Linked DNA regions of Sus scrofa. The protein of the gene in region 1 purifies or fractionates together with the protein of each later gene. This does not show direct contact. Links are inferred from orthologs where the notes say so. Each region holds a gene or a part of one and is shown on either strand. Other genes may lie near its edges. The genes, in order: APOB and VCP.

What was found.
Region 2: the proteins of APOB (region 1) and VCP purify together in Homo sapiens (affinity purification with western blotting, with the first as the bait; 3 studies listed by BioGRID). This does not show direct contact. The link is inferred for Sus scrofa from reciprocal best matches to the Homo sapiens genes APOB and VCP.

The regions. Positions count from the first base shown.
Region 1 is NC_010445.4:117,306,667-117,310,489, forward strand, and holds part of APOB (apolipoprotein B-100), read left to right. Parts: coding exon 1-3,823. UniProt on the Homo sapiens protein: Apolipoprotein B is a major protein constituent of chylomicrons (apo B-48), LDL (apo B-100) and VLDL (apo B-100). Apo B-100 functions as a recognition signal for the cellular binding and internalization of LDL particles by the apoB/E receptor.
Region 2 is NC_010443.5:235,863,167-235,866,989, reverse strand, and holds part of VCP (transitional endoplasmic reticulum ATPase), read left to right. Parts: intron 1-1,460; coding exon of another isoform or gene 1,461-1,572; intron 1,573-1,657; 5' UTR 1,658-1,757; coding exon of another isoform or gene 1,758-1,763; coding exon 1,764-1,930; intron 1,931-3,020; coding exon 3,021-3,163; intron 3,164-3,717; coding exon 3,718-3,823. UniProt on the Homo sapiens protein: Necessary for the fragmentation of Golgi stacks during mitosis and for their reassembly after mitosis. Involved in the formation of the transitional endoplasmic reticulum (tER).

The DNA.
Region 1 (3,823 bases):
TGCACTGGAAGCTATACAGAGAGAATTGAAACACATCAACATTAATCAACCCATGAGGAAATATGGAGCAGCCTTGGACAAATTCCCACAGCAAGTTAATGATTATCTGAGTACATTCAGTTGGGAAAGACAAGTTTTGAGTGCCAAAAAGAAACTAAGTGATTTCATGGAAGATTATAGAATTACAGAAAATGATGTACGAATTGCATTAGACAATGCCAAAATCAACCTTAATGAAAAACTAACTCAGCTACAAACATATGTGATACAATTTGATCAGTATATTAAAGATAATTATGATTTACATGATTTTAAGACAGCTATTGCTAGGATTATTGATGAAATCATTGCAACATTGAAAATTCTTGATGAACGTTATCATATCCATGTAAATTTAGTAAAAAAAATCCACGATCTGCATTTGTTTATTGAAAAGATTGGCTTTAACAAAACTAGAAGCAGTACTGCATCTTGGTTTCAAAATGTGAATATTAATTATCAAATCAGACTCTGGATACAAGAAAAACTGCAACAACTCAAGGCCCAGATTCAGAACATAGACATTCAGCACCTTGCTGAGAAGTTAAAACAACAGGTTGAAGATATTGATGCCAGAGTGCTTTTAGATCAGTTGAGAACTACAATACCATTCCAAGAAATAAAGGAAGTTATTGAGCATGTCAAATACTGTGTTAAAAGTCTTTTTGAAGATTTTGAAGTAACTAAGGAAATCAATGCATTCAGAGCCATGGTCCATGAGTTAATTAAGATGTACAAAATAGATGAACACATTCAGGTTTTAATGGACAATTCAGTGCACTTGGCCCACCAATATAAGCTGCAGGAGACTGTTCAGAAACTAAGCAGTATCCTACAACAAGTCAAGATACAAGATCTTCTTGAGACACTGACCTGGTTTATTGATGACACTCTCAAGCAGCTTGAAGCATTGTCTTTCCAACAATTAATTGAAGAAGTAAACAAATTCCTTGACATGTTGGTAAAGAGATTAAGGTCATTTGATTACCACCATTTTTTAGATGAAACCAATAAGAACCTTCATGAGGTGACTCAAAGAATCAACGGCAAAATTCAGGCTCTAGAACTTCCACAGAAATTTACAGCACTCAAACTGTTGTCAGAAGACATCAAGGCCTTGATCTCAGTCCATCTGGAAAACCTAAAGGCCACCAAAATAACCTTATTCTTTGATTGGTTACAGGGAACTCTAAGTTCAACACCCATAGTTCACATGAAAGCCAAATTCCACGAGACCCTAGAAGATGTACGAGACCGAATGTATCAAATGGACGTGCAGCAGGAAATCCAGCGATACCTGTTCCTGGTTGGCCAGGTTTACAGCACGCTTGTCACTTACATCTCTGACTGGTGGGATCTCGCTGCTAAGAACCTTACTGACTTTGCAGAGCAGTATTCTATCCAAGACTGGGCCAAAAACCTGAAAGCACTGGTAGAACAAGGGTTCACTGTTCCTGAAATCCAGACCACCTTTGGGACCCTACCTGCCTTTGAAGTCAGTCTCCGTGCTCTTCAGGAGGCCACATATCAGACCCCTGACTTCATCGTCCCTCTGACAGATCTGAAGATTCCATCGGTACAGATAAACTTCAAAAAGTTGAAAGACATCGAAATCCCATCCAGGTTTTCCACGCCAGAATTTACTGTCCTCAATACCTTCCACGTCCCCTCCTTTACAATTGACTTGGTGGAAATAAAAGCAAAGATCATCAGAACCATTGATCAAATGCTTAACAGTGAGCTGCAGTGGCCAGTCCCGGAAGTATACCTGAGGGATCTGAATGGGGTAGAAACCATGCTTGCTAGAATCACTCTACCAGACTTGTATTTACCAGAAATCAGAATTCCAGAATTTGTAATCCCCAACCTCAACCTTACAGATTTCCAAGTTTCTGACCTTCACATACCAGAATTCCAGCTTCCCCACATCCCACACACAGTTGAAGTACCTGCTTTTGGCAAGCTGCACGGCATTTTGAAAATCCAGTCTCCCCTTCTCATATTAGAGGCAAATGCTAACATTCAGAACATAACTACTTCAGAGAACACGGCAGAGATGGAGGCTTCCTTCACTGCCAAAGGAGAATCTAAATTTGAAGTTCTTAATTTTGATTTTCAAGCAAATGCACAACTTTCAGACCCTGAGATCAATCCGCTAGTTCTGAAGGAATCTGTGAGGTTCTCCAGCAAGTACCTGAAAACAGAGCACGGCAGTGAAGTGCTATTTGTTGGAAATTCTATTGAGGGAAAATCAAACACTGTGGCAGGTTTATACACAGGAAAAAATACACTGAAACTTAGTAATGATGTGCTCCTCAAGGTAAATAATCAGCTTACCCTGAACAGCAACACAAAGTACTTCCACGAATTGAACATCCCCAAACTGGACTTCTCAAGTCAGGCCGACCTGCGCAGTGAAATCAAAACCCTGCTGGAAGCTAGCCACATAGCATGGCGTTCTTCTGGGAAAGGGTCCTGGAAATTGGCATGCCACAGATTCTCGGACGAGGGAACGCATGAGTCACAAATCAGCTTTACTGTGGAAGGACCCATTACTTCCTTTGGATTGTCTAACGAGATCAGAAGCAAACACCTAAGAGTAAACCAAAGTATGGTGTATGAATCTGCCTTCCTCAAATTTTCCAAATTTGAAATCCACTCACAAGCTGAGTGTCAGTACGTGGGCCGCAGTGTCCTAACTGCTAAAGGCATGGTCCTACCTAGAGAAAGGAAAGCAGAGATAACTGGCAACCATGATGCTCATTTAAATGGAAAAGTTATTGGAACTTTGAAAAATTCTCTTTTCTTTTCAGCACAGCCACTTGAGATTACTGCATCCACAATCAATGAGGGGAATTTGAGAGTTAGTTTTCCATTAAAATTGACAGGGAAGATAGACTTCCTGAATAACTATGCACTGCTTCTGAGTCCTAGTGCTCAGCAAGCAAGTTGGCAAGCGAGTGCCAGGTTCAATCAGTATAAGTACAATCAAAATTTCTCTGCTGTAAACAATGAGAGAAGCACCGAGGCCCACATAGGAATAAATGGAGAAGCCAACCTGGATTTCCTAAACATTCCTTTAACAATCCCTGAAATGACTCTACCTTACACAAGGCTCACAGTTCCCCAGGTGAAAGATATCTCCTTATGGGAAAAGACAGGCTTGAAGGAATTCTTGAAAACAACAAAGCAATCATTTGATTTAAGTGTTAAGGCTCAGTATAAGAAAAACAAAGACAAGCATTCCATCCCAAATCCTCTGGACGTATTTTATGCATTTATCAATCGAAACATCAATTCCTTCAACAGGCATTTTGAGACAGTCAGGGACAAGGCATTAGATTTTTTTACTGAATCCTATAATGAAATAAAAATTACATTTGATAAGTACAAGGTTGAAAAACCCCTCGACCAGCAACCCAGGACCTTTCAAATTCCTGGCTACACTATTCCAGTTATCAACATTGAAGTGTCTCCATTCACAGTGAAGATGTTGACATTTGGCTATGTGATCCCCAAAGAGATTAGCACCCCAAACATCACCATTCTGGGTTCTGGCATCTCCGTGCCCTCATACACCTTAGGCCTGCAGTTCCTAGAGCTGCCAGCCCTTGATGTGCCTAGGAATATTCTTCAGATTTCTCTTCCAGAGTTGGCGGTATCAGGTACCTCAAACAAAATTTTGATTCCAGCCATGGGCAATATTACCTATGATTTTTCCTTTAAATCAAGTGTCATCACACTGAATACCAATGTCGGACTTTATAACCAGTCAAATATTGTT
Region 2 (3,823 bases), on another chromosome or scaffold:
CCTGTTTAGACAATGTAAACTGAGTTCAGACTTAGGCAACCTTCATTTGGGTGAGAGGATTTTGATTTGCCCCATGTCTCACATTTCTTGGTATTGACTTTTTTTTTTTTGTCTTTTTTTTTAGGGCCACGCCCTTGGCATATGAAAGTTCCCAGGCTAGGGGTCAAATGGGAGCTGTAGCCGCTGGCCTGTGCCACAGCCACAGCCACAGCACCACCAGATCCAAGCCACATCTTCAGCCTACACCACAGCTCACGGCAATGCCAGATCCTTAACCCACTGAACAAGGTGAGGGATCAAACCTGTGTCCTCATGGATGCTAGTCAGTTTCATCTCCTCTGAGCCATGACAGGAACTTCTGGTTTTGACTTTTTGAACCAGCTCCATGGAGTTGTGTCTTTTCAAAGATTACCGTGAAACTCCCTTTAAGCTTGAGCTTTGTTCTGGTGAAGATTCTAGATCTGTTAGTGTCAAGTATTTATTTTTTTTCAAATATGATGGTCTTTGTGCTTTGCATTCCTGTGGTAGGTAGAAGGCTCCTGACATTCAGCAGGTTTATCTGGTAAGGAGAGTAGCACTAATAATTTTGCTTTATTGTTCCCGGGCTTGTTTTGTGGGTCTTGGAGCCTATGGGAGGTTGCCTTGCTCACTTTGTTCTATAAGAAGGTTAGCAAAGAAAGAGCTTATGCTGTGTTCTGCAGTGCTAATCATAGTGACCGTTGATACCATATGCATTTTGTTGAGCATTTTGTGTTCATTACACTCTGAGATAGGTACTACTATAGTCCCCATTTTATAGATGAGGACGTCAGCCTCCAAAGAGGTTAAATAAGTTGCCCAAAATCACAGTTAAGCTCTGGCAGGGTTGGGATTCAGACTCAACAAGTCAGACTACAGGGACGCTTCTCTTTTTAATCACCATTCTATGCTGTCTAAGACTATTTTTATTTCTCTAATTATTGCTCAGGCTTCACTTTTTTTTTCCCCCTCTTTTGGCTGCCCGCAGCATATGGAATTCTAGGGCCAGAGATCAGATCTCATCTGCATTTGCCATCTATGCTGCAGCTGCAGCAATGCCAGATCCTTAACATGCTATGCCAGAGATCAAACCTGTGTCCTAGCGCTCCAGAGATGCCACTGATCCCATTGTACCACAGTGGGAACTCTTCAGCCTCCACTTTTACTCTTGTCATCTTAGTTTCCTGACCCTGGGACAAGATCGCCTGGGGCCACGCAGCTAGGATACCAGGAGTGCTCAGAATACTGAGTTGCCGAATGAGGAATTGTAACATAGACTTGATATTCTTCTTGACCTTGGCTGAATTGCTTTTCATCTGAGTTCTTGGTATAGGCATAGCTTCATCTATCCACTATTTCTTTCCTAAGTGTGAGTTATAGAGACTGGTGGGGTCCTCAGAGCTGGAGTAAGTTTTAGAACTGACTTCATTTTCTCTTTCTAGTTCCAAAGGTGATGATTTATCAACAGCCATTCTTAAACAGAAGAATCGTCCCAATCGGTTAATTGTTGATGAAGCCATCAATGAGGACAACAGTGTGGTATCTTTGTCCCAGGTAAGTTGGGTCCGCAGTGCAATTTTTACTTATTGCACTTAACCTGAGGGCTTTTCCCAGGTTTCTTTTCTCATTTTTCTTGCAGTGACCACAGATAGAGTGGGGTTTACTGGGAATCCCAACCTCCAGGGCTGCTGCTTACCCCCTGGCCCAGTGACCCAAAGGCCTTAACCTTCTTTCCTCAGCCCAAGATGGATGAGCTGCAGTTGTTCCGAGGTGACACAGTGTTGCTGAAAGGAAAGAAGAGGCGGGAAGCTGTGTGCATTGTGCTTTCTGATGACACATGTTCTGATGAGAAGATTCGAATGAATAGAGTTGTTCGGAATAACCTTCGCGTACACCTAGGGGATGTCATCAGGTGTGTGTGGGGTTCTTGACCCCTCAGGGATGGGAGCCCAGAGACAGCCTGCTTTATAGGCAGTACCCCCACAAGGCCTTGGCAGCTACAGATATTGGGACCTTGCAAGCTATGGGACGACATAATGTGTTTAGGTTGTCTTAGGTTTTGATTTTGCCTCTGAGATTTCAAAATCTGCCTCTGCATGACCCTTGGGATAAGTTGGCATTTCTATGACTTTCTTGGTACTTTTGTTTTTTCCTGTCAAAAGTATAATTCATCATACCTTAGACCTTGGTTTAGGATGCCATCTGGAACCAGTAACCTTACTACTGTGTTGCATTAATGGCTTGTGTTGGGGCTGGAATGAGATGGGGATATGGGCATGGAAGGTAGACTCCTAGTAGATCTGTTTAAGGATCCAAGTTAACCTAGGAGAGATGCATAGTTTGAACCAGACCTAGGATAGCTCCAGTTTGAGTGATTTTAGACTTAACATTAAGGCAAGAAGCTTCCCCATCCTGGATTCATCTCTAGCCACTGCTCCCCAACCTTCTGTCACCTGACTAGGAACATCTCTGGCTTCTGATTCTTTTTCATGGATTCTAGGTTTCATGTAGCCTTCTTCCTGGAGGTGCTTAGTCACTTTCTCAAGGTGCTCTGACCACCTGATAAGATTATTTTTTCACTTCCATTTCTCTGACCCTGACACTTTTCAGTCTGAGGTTTCCCTTTTGTAATACTGGGTCACCGATATTAACCAGAATGGGTTATCCTTGGATATCGCTTACTGAAGACCCTTCCTCTTATGTCTTTGTGGGGGTTCTAGATGTGTAGATCTTCCTTTTGGCTCATAATTGCGAGCGAGCAGCCCCAGCAGCTTCTTCTAGCACCTCCCCCACCCCCACGACCCCACATGGCATATGACCTGTTCTGCTTGGCTGTTCCTTTGCCCTCACTTCCACCCTACCCTCTTACTGCTCTTCACCTAAAGCCATCCCTGCCTTTTCTCTTTGGCTCGTCATCAGCTCTCTGTGCCAGGCCCTTTCGGACACCCAGTGCTTGGGGCTGCAGTGTGGTTGGTAACGTGGAGTCTGCTTGTCATCCTCAGCATCCAGCCATGCCCTGATGTGAAGTACGGCAAACGTATCCATGTACTACCCATCGATGACACAGTGGAAGGCATCACTGGCAATCTCTTTGAGGTATACCTTAAGCCATACTTCCTGGAAGCTTATCGACCCATCCGGAAAGGTGAGACATAATTCTAGGGACTGTTTGTAGGATACCCAGGAGTAAACCTTGGGACACCTTTGTCTCATTCTCATGTATGTGTGCATACACACACATTCTGTACACATGTGCTCACGTGTACTCTCTCCTTCCTCCTCTTCCTCCCCACTCCCCGCTTTTCCCATTTCCACTCCTCACTCCAGTAAACCATCTTCTCTTTATTCGAAGGAAGAGGTGGGCCATTCTGACTATGTCACAGTCTAGAGTGTATTTACGATTTAGCACAGTTCTACCATTGGTGGTGTTTGTGAAAGTTTGGGTTATCTATACCCTAGAAGTCAAAAACCTGATGGGCTTCTTTCTGATACATTAGGTTGTTTACTGTCTTGAGTGGCAGAGGGCCTCTTATAGTTGAGCTTTCTCTTTTTGCCTGATGCTTAATATGATGGGGATGGGAAGGAGAAAGGGCAATATTTAGTGAACTTGGCACTCTAAACACTAGGTTCTGATGAGGGATTCTCACTTGGTCTGGTAATAGACACCTCTAACTGCTCTTGTGCTGACTGCTCTCACAGGAGATATTTTCCTTGTTCGGGGTGGGATGCGTGCAGTAGAGTTCAAAGTAGTGGAGACGGATCCCAGTCCTTACTGCATTGTTGCACCAGACACAGTGATCCACTG